Saccharomyces cerevisiae S288C: one gene and its partner. The gene in region 1 interacts genetically with each later gene. Each region holds a gene or a part of one and is shown in the gene's direction. Other genes may lie near its edges.

Region 1 (3,600 bases):
AAAAGAAGAGCTTCTTGCGCTTTTTATCCCCATGGACTAGGGCATATGTTGGGGCTTGATGTACACGACGTTGGTGGTAATCCAAACTATGACGACCCAGATCCAATGTTTAGATATTTAAGAATCCGCCGTCCTTTGAAAGAAAATATGGTTATCACTAATGAACCAGGTTGCTACTTTAATCAATTTTTGATCAAAGAATTTTTGGAAAAGCACCCCGAAAGATTGGAAGTTGTCGATATGAGCGTATTGAAAAGATACATGTATGTCGGTGGTGTTAGAATTGAAGATGATATCCTTGTTACCAAAGATGGTTACGAGAACTTAACTGGTATTACTTCTGACCCTGATGAAATTGAAAAAATCGTTCAAAAAGGTTTGAAGAAACCCCGTTCAGGTTTCCACGTAATCGTTTAGGTATTAACTTTTTTTTACTCGCTTCTAGAAGTTTAGTATATTCTTTTGTACACAGAATTGTATATTTTTTTTATAATCTTGGATTCACCATTTAACTAGATTTGGAAATATAAGGAATGGCACTGAAAAAATTAAGGACCAACCCCGAAGAGCAAAAAATGAATGCGAATTCTGTGGATCGAACACAGGACCTCCAGATAACTTGACCGAAGTTTTTTCTTCAGTCTGGCGCTCTCCCAACTGAGCTAAATCCGCTTCTATTTATGAAAAATTCATTGTTACAGGAACTATAGGACTATAATAACTAGCTGCTAACACCTTTAAATGTGACTTTTCTCATAAGGAAATCTAGCGATTCAGAATTCGAGAATTTTGCAGATTGCAAAGTTTTCTTTTTACCATAATATTTGAGAATGTTGTAAAACTTGAGATAATTATTCGGATGTCATTGTTGATTGAAGATAGCATTCCTATGAGTCGCCCTCGAGGACTTGGATCGAAAAATCTACATAATATTAGTAATTACTATTATTGTTGGAATTGGATAAACCGTCGTCCACCTATTTGAGAAATAGGTAATTATTATATGAGTTATTTGGTTCCTTTTTGTTAAAGTAATAATTTGAAATGCCATCCATTTGGTAATATTCATGTTATTGGCATATTATCATATGCGGTTCAGGAAGATGACATAAAAGTTGAGAAACAGTTATCAACCCTAATGGAAGCTGAAATGCAAGATTGATAATGTAATAGCATAATGAAACATATAAAACGGAATGGGGAATAATCGTAATATTATTATGTAGAACTACCGATTCCATTTTGAGGATTCCTACATCCTCGAGGAGACTTCTAGCATATTCTGTGTACATAATATTATGGTCTTGATCAACAATGCAATCCCAACAGTTATCAAATTATTCAGAAAATTGATCACATTTTCGATAAATCTATTATGAAAGTAAAATTTTGACTCATACCTAAGTTCTCGTTATTCGTTAATCTTATGAACTCATTAACCTTGGCGTTTCAGCATCCGCTATGATTACTAGTGCTTAAACCTTGTTATTCATGCCTCATAATTGATGCCATCTTCTAACCTCGAGCGTGATAAAATTTTTGTAATATGAACACCAATCGGCGGAAGATCATCCCAAAGCCACATATGATGGTGCCTTATAACATTAATAACAACTTCAACTGCTGCATACCGATAATATCTTGACGATTATGCATTCGTGTCCTGATAGCTAATGCCATGAAACAATTCTTTTCAATCGCACTTGCACCTTCGTGAAATAGAAGGGTTATCTGGGCTTATCAGACTTGTCCACAGTTTACATATAATTTTTTTTCTGTATTAAATTTTGTGAGCTTTCTTTTTACTCAAACGAACTGTGTTATTTTTCGTTCATTAAATGCGTACCTTTAAGCATCATCAAGTATTGCTCTTCGGGAAAAATGAAGTAACCTTGTTAGGTTAATTTCACTAGTACTATACATATTTTATCCTGTATCATACCAGAGGATCATTCTAGCCACAATGGTCGATACGCATAAACTAGCAGACGACGTTCTTCAGCTATTGGATAACCGTATCGAAGATAATTATAGGGTTTGTGTTATCCTAGTCGGTTCTCCAGGCTCCGGTAAGTCTACTATTGCGGAAGAACTTTGTCAAATTATAAATGAAAAATATCACACATTTTTGTCAGAGCATCCAAATGTTATTGAGGTTAATGATAGGTTGAAACCTATGGTTAACCTAGTAGACTCTTTAAAGACGCTCCAGCCCAATAAAGTAGCTGAAATGATTGAAAATCAGGGGCTGTTTAAAGATCATGTTGAGGATGTTAATTTTCAACCAGTCAAGTACTCAGCCCTTACATCAAATAATGAAGAATGTACCGCAGTAGTTGCCAGAGGTGGTACTGCGAATGCCATAAGAATCGCAGCAGTTGATAATCCAGTCAATGTTAACAAGTTGGCCCAGGATAGTATCAATATAGCGCAAATAGTCCCAATGGATGGTTTTCACTTATCTCGCAGATGTCTAGACCTATTCAAAGACCCACAAACTGCCCATAAAAGAAGAGGTTCGCCCTCAACGTTTGACAGTAACAATTTCTTACAATTGTGTAAAATTCTAGCCAAGACGTCCCTATGTAAGGTCTCCTCACATCATAAATTTTACTCCACTTCAAGCGTTTTTGAGAAGTTATCCAAAACTTTTAGCCAAACAATTCCTGATATCTTTGTTCCAGGATTTAACCATGCACTAAAAGACCCAACTCCAGATCAGTACTGTATTTCCAAATTTACAAGGATAGTTATACTTGAAGGGTTATACCTACTGTATGACCAAGAAAACTGGAAGAAAATTTACAAAACATTAGCTGATACGGGAGCACTTCTTGTTTATAAGATTGACATAGACTATGAGGCCACCGAAGAAAGGGTGGCCAAAAGGCATTTGCAATCAGGGTTAGTCACGACTATTGCAGAAGGACGAGAGAAGTTTCGCAGCAATGATTTGTTGAATGGCAGGGATATAGATAATCATTTAATTAAGGTAGATAATATCGTCCATATCCGCAACGACTAGAAGGTTAGGCGGAACCTTGTATATATTTTTGTAAAATCGAACTGAATACAGATAATTAAGGCGCGCAAGCAAAAACGGCATTCTTTATGAACTCTGCAGAGGTGCCCTTTATTACGACATATATGGGAAGTAATACATATTGATTCTACAAGAAGTTCAAGCCAAGGTTTAGATATGAGTGACCAAATCAACGTTTTGTCAATGCAACAACAACAACAGCAGCAGCAGCAGCAGCAGCAAGTATATATGTCTCCTCAAGCAGAAAACTTGAATCATATGTACTTGTTAGTTAACAAGCTAGTGAAACAGTTGAGGGAAAATCAAGCAGAAAAGGCGAAAATACTAAGGAACATAGACATATTATCCGGAAGCTTAAACAAGTATGAGACATCTGAAGAACCTCACGATACCACGGAAAATATTGCATTATTTAATAGATTTCTAGAACAAAGAGGGAAAGCTCCTATTACTGAGAAAGAGCAACTAAGCAACAATCTGGATGAAAATGCGAAAGATGACGTTATGCTAGGAGTGTTGAAGCGCCAAAATTCAATGCTCCGGAAAAGTTTACAGGA
Region 2 (4,555 bases), on another chromosome or scaffold:
TTTCCCAATTGAAGATGGAACGGCCGAATAAGGTAGCAACAAAATCAAAATCAGGAACCTTCAGTAGCTGGATATTAACAGTTTCGACATGAGGGAAGGGAGTCATCAATTTGAATTTCACTCTAGCATGAGCCTTGAAAGCAATGTCTGACACAGAAACAGGGATGGTGATACCAAAAATTTTGGCCTTAACAACCGCTAATTCATTAACGTAATTTCTGACTTGCTTAGCACTCATGTCGCATAAATCGTGAGGAGTAAAAGAAATACCCCAGTCCATCACAACAACATCGGATGCAGTGTTTTGGAAAGTCTTCACCAAATCAACTCTGGGGGGTTTAACACCAAGTGTCAACTCATCGATCCATAGTTGAGTAATAAATTTGGGAATCGCCTCATTAGTAGCCATTTGTTCATTAGCTTGCTGAACGATTAATTGACTAACGGAAGGTTCTAAAATGGGCCAGTACTTATCCAAAAAGGCATTCAACCATTCTAGGGATTCATAGTCGTTTTCCACTTTCTGCACCGTGAACTCTTTCTGGACTAACTCTCTTATGGAACCTCTGTATTTTTTAGCAGAGGTTCTATACAACAATGAAGTGATAACGATGACAAAAAAGGCCGACCCCATTGAAAACTTATAATGACCAAGTGCAAATGATGCCACGCCTCCGATAAAGAAAATGGCTACCGAATGATACCAGTCACCGTAAAGGCTGTCCGGTATGATGTTATCTAAGAAGGTTTCTCTAGTCATATCCATCAATTCATCATCTAAAGTTAATTCGTCTTTGTCTTCCCAGCCACCAATCTGTTTCCAGCCGACATAAGAAGCTTCATGGATACTTCTCTTGAAGCTTTCATCACTAGCATGTGCCGCCTTCTCAGATGACACGCTTTTACTGGATTCGGTTTCCTCTTTCGTCTTTGGAGGTTCTAACTTATCTATCCCATTTATGTTAGCTACTTGGGCTGTTTCGGGCTTCTTTGGTGCTGTTACCCCAGTATCTTCTTTGGCCATATTGTATGTACCACGCAATTGAAGTTTTCAGAATGCACTAGCTATCTTTTTTTATCTTAGCTATTCTTCTTCAATTATCCTACTTATTCTTCAGCAAAAAAAAAATAATAAGCTAAGACAATGCTATACAAGTCAATTACCAGCCAGTAAGTCCAAATTGGAGTAGCCAATGCTATTAGTTGATAATTTTGACGGCCGATTATACTATTCCAATTGCAGCAACATCCCTGTCCCTTAGCTTTTTGAGGGGCCTTTTGTTATAATTTTTCATGCAGCATTCCGGTCGCCAAAGTTGTTATCACTTCTAACGTAAATCGTTTTCTCGTTATGTCCGCTATTTTAGAATGAGAATAATGGATAAAATTGGCCTAAAAAGGGAGCGAGTATAACGTTACTGAGATACAATTGTACATTTTGCCATGGAAATGAGCCAACTAGTCTAATGAGATTTTCAATGCTTTATTTCTTTTTTTAGTTTCTCATTTTATTGTTTCTCTAGTTATTAGTCCTTTGGTTATTTTTATGTCACCACCTCTTGTCACATGACCATTTTTGTTACTTGCTTGGTTTTACAATGATTTATACATTCTTGGGCCTCTCTTGACATATTTTTATCGTCATAATAAGTTCTTCATTCGTTCTCTAAAACAACAAAGTTAGACTCCATGGCCAAGTTGGTTAAGGCGTGCGACTGTTAATCGCAAGATCGTGAGTTCAACCCTCACTGGGGTCGTTAATTTTTTAATTTTTCTCCTACACTGTTGCTATGTCGGAGTTATCTCATAAGAGCTGAAAATATGTGGTAAATTTAGTCAGTATCCTTCGAGGATCAGCTAGAGCCTATTCAATGCAATTGTCATTAATCAGTGGCTTGGTAAGGCAATAGAATTCAGTTATAAAATATAATATTACTAGAACAGGAGCATTATGGTATCAGCCAACGGCGACTTGCACTTGCCAATTTCTAACGAACAGTGCATGCCGGAAAACAATGGATCTCTTGGATTTGAGGCCCCCACTCCGAGACAGATTCTCAGGGTTACGTTAAATTTGAAATACTTAATTGATAAGGTCGTACCTATTGTTTACGATCCCAATGATATTGTTTGTGACCATTCTGAGATTTTATCTCCAAAAGTTGTGAAGCTGGCTTATGAAGCATGTGGCGGGAACCCTAAAGACAAGGCCAACAAAAGAAAATATCAATCTGTCATTATTTTTTCACTTCTTAAAGTTTGTGAGTGGTATTCCATATTGGCCACTATGGAAGTGCACAATGCCAAACTTTACGAAACCAGAAATTTAGCCTCACAACAGTTATGTAAATTGTTAATTGAAAGGGAGGAGACAAGAGACCTGCAGTTTCTTTTCATGCAGTTACTGCTGCGTCGGTACGTAATCAACGAGAACGATGAAGATCAAGAACCGTTGAATGCCTTGGAACTTGCCACAGATATGCACTGTACTACAGTGATAGGATCGAGTGGATTTCAGCGTTGTTTAAAATGGATATGGAGAGGATGGATAGTCCAAAATGGCTTGGATCCCACAACTTTTATCAAGGACGATTCACTGGCGGAAGTGTCATTGATCTCTCATTTCAACCCCGTAAGATTAAAGGCGCCTGTATACCAAAATTATTTGCAGATGATCTTCTCATTTTTGTTTCTAGGGCTTTATACCTTGGTGGTTAATGGTAAGGACTCTGAGAGAGTCCAATCTTTCGATTTGTTAGAAAGCATATTTTATGTTTTCAATACTGGTTTCATCTTGGATGAGCTCACTAAGCTTTATTATATTGGTTATGCGCACCTATCGTTTTGGAATTTATTTAATGATACCACATATTTGATAATCACGTTTGCTATGGGGTTCCGTGCAATGAGCGTAACGCCCCTTAATGCAAAATACTCTTCAGAAGATTGGGATAAAATATCATATAGAGTCTTATCCTGTGCAGCACCATTTGTGTGGTCGAGACTCCTACTATACCTTGAATCACAAAGGTTTATTGGGATTATGTTGGTTATCCTAAAACATATGATGAAAGAATCCATTGTATTTTTCTTCCTTCTATTCTTAATAATGATAGGATTCACTCAAGGTTTCTTAGGTTTGGATTCCGCAGATGGTAAGAGAGATATCACCGGACCCATCCTGGGTAATTTAACAATCACCGTTTTGGGTCTTGGTAGTTTTGATGTTTTCGAAGAATTCGCTCCCCCATATGCGGCAATACTGTATTATGGTTACTATTTTATTGTTTCGGTTATCCTTTTGAATATATTAATTGCTTTGTATTCGACTGCGTACCAAAAAGTTATTGACAATGCAGATGACGAGTACATGGCTTTGATGTCACAAAAGACGTTGAGATACATTAGAGCACCTGATGAAGATGTCTATGTTTCTCCATTGAACTTAATTGAAGTGTTCATGACACCTATCTTTCGTATTCTTCCACCGAAGCGTGCTAAAGATTTGAGCTATACTGTAATGACAATAGTGTACAGCCCATTTTTGTTGCTTATTTCTGTTAAAGAAACTCGGGAGGCTAGAAGGATAAAATATAACAGGATGAAAAGGTTAAACGATGATGCCAATGAATATGATACTCCATGGGATTTGACAGATGGCTACTTGGATGATGATGACGGTTTGTTTTCTGATAACCGAAATTCTGGCATGAGAGCCACCCAGTTAAAGAATTCCCGTTCGCTAAAACTGCAAAGAACAGCAGAGCAGGAAGATGTCCATTTTAAAGTCCCTAAGAAGTGGTATAAAAACGTTAAAAAATGCAGTCCCTCCTTCGAACAGTATGATAACGATGACACTGAAGATGATGCTGGTGAAGATAAAGATGAAGTCAAAGAGCTCACTAAGAAAGTGGAAAACTTGACAGCTGTAATTACCGATCTACTCGAAAAATTAGACATAAAGGATAAGAAAGAGTAAACGACATGTGTTCAAATACTGCTTAATTAATTTCTCAGAAATCCATATATATATATATATATTGCTCCTCATTGCAACTTTGTAAATTTAATGTTCCTTTAATTTATCATTATTTACAATATTAACTAATCCATCTCCCGATTTTCGGCATAAAATAAGTTTATATTTTGGTCTACATGAAAACAAAAGTTTAACTAAACTAACGTGTACAAACCACTTTGAAACGTATATAAAGGTCTAATAAAAACGACTGGCGTTTTGAAAGATAATATAATGATCTAATGCAGTTAAAAAATTTACAAATTATAAGAAGAAAAGAAAAACAACGATTACGGTAAAAAATGAAAACTCCCTCTCCTTTCTAGGTACGATAAATTATGACTTTCATCTTTCCCGTTTTGAAGATCTATTTATCTCAATTTGCCCAGACTTTTTTTTTATATATATTTATTTTCCCCTCTCTAACAACTGCAAGCACTGTTTGCGCTGGTCCCATCATTAGCAGCGTTCAAATCCACTCTTTGATTGTTCGACTCACGTTCGTTACTTGCACTATTTTGCTCTTCAGCCGTCTTC

The links. Genes that interact genetically often act in the same process or in processes that back each other up.
Region 2: mutations in YFH7 (region 1) and YVC1 together harm fitness less than expected from each alone (positive genetic interaction), as found in Saccharomyces cerevisiae (one large-scale study listed by BioGRID).

Annotation. Positions count from the first base shown.
Region 1 is NC_001138.5:157,336-160,935, forward strand, and holds YFH7 (Yfh7p), read left to right. Parts: upstream 1-1,963; coding exon 1,964-3,025; downstream 3,026-3,600. Other genes in the region: YFR006W (putative Xaa-Pro dipeptidase), read left to right, coding at 1-417; FAR7 (Far7p), read left to right, coding at 3,200-3,600. UniProt on the Saccharomyces cerevisiae protein: ATP-dependent kinase that could be involved in endoplasmic reticulum membrane assembly.
Region 2 is NC_001147.6:485,756-490,310, forward strand, and holds YVC1 (Yvc1p), read left to right. Parts: upstream 1-1,951; coding exon 1,952-3,979; downstream 3,980-4,555. Other genes in the region: TCB1 (tricalbin), read right to left, coding at 1-1,024; Rab family GTPase VPS21, read right to left, coding at 4,441-4,555. UniProt on the Saccharomyces cerevisiae protein: Required for release of calcium ions from the vacuole in response to hyperosmotic shock.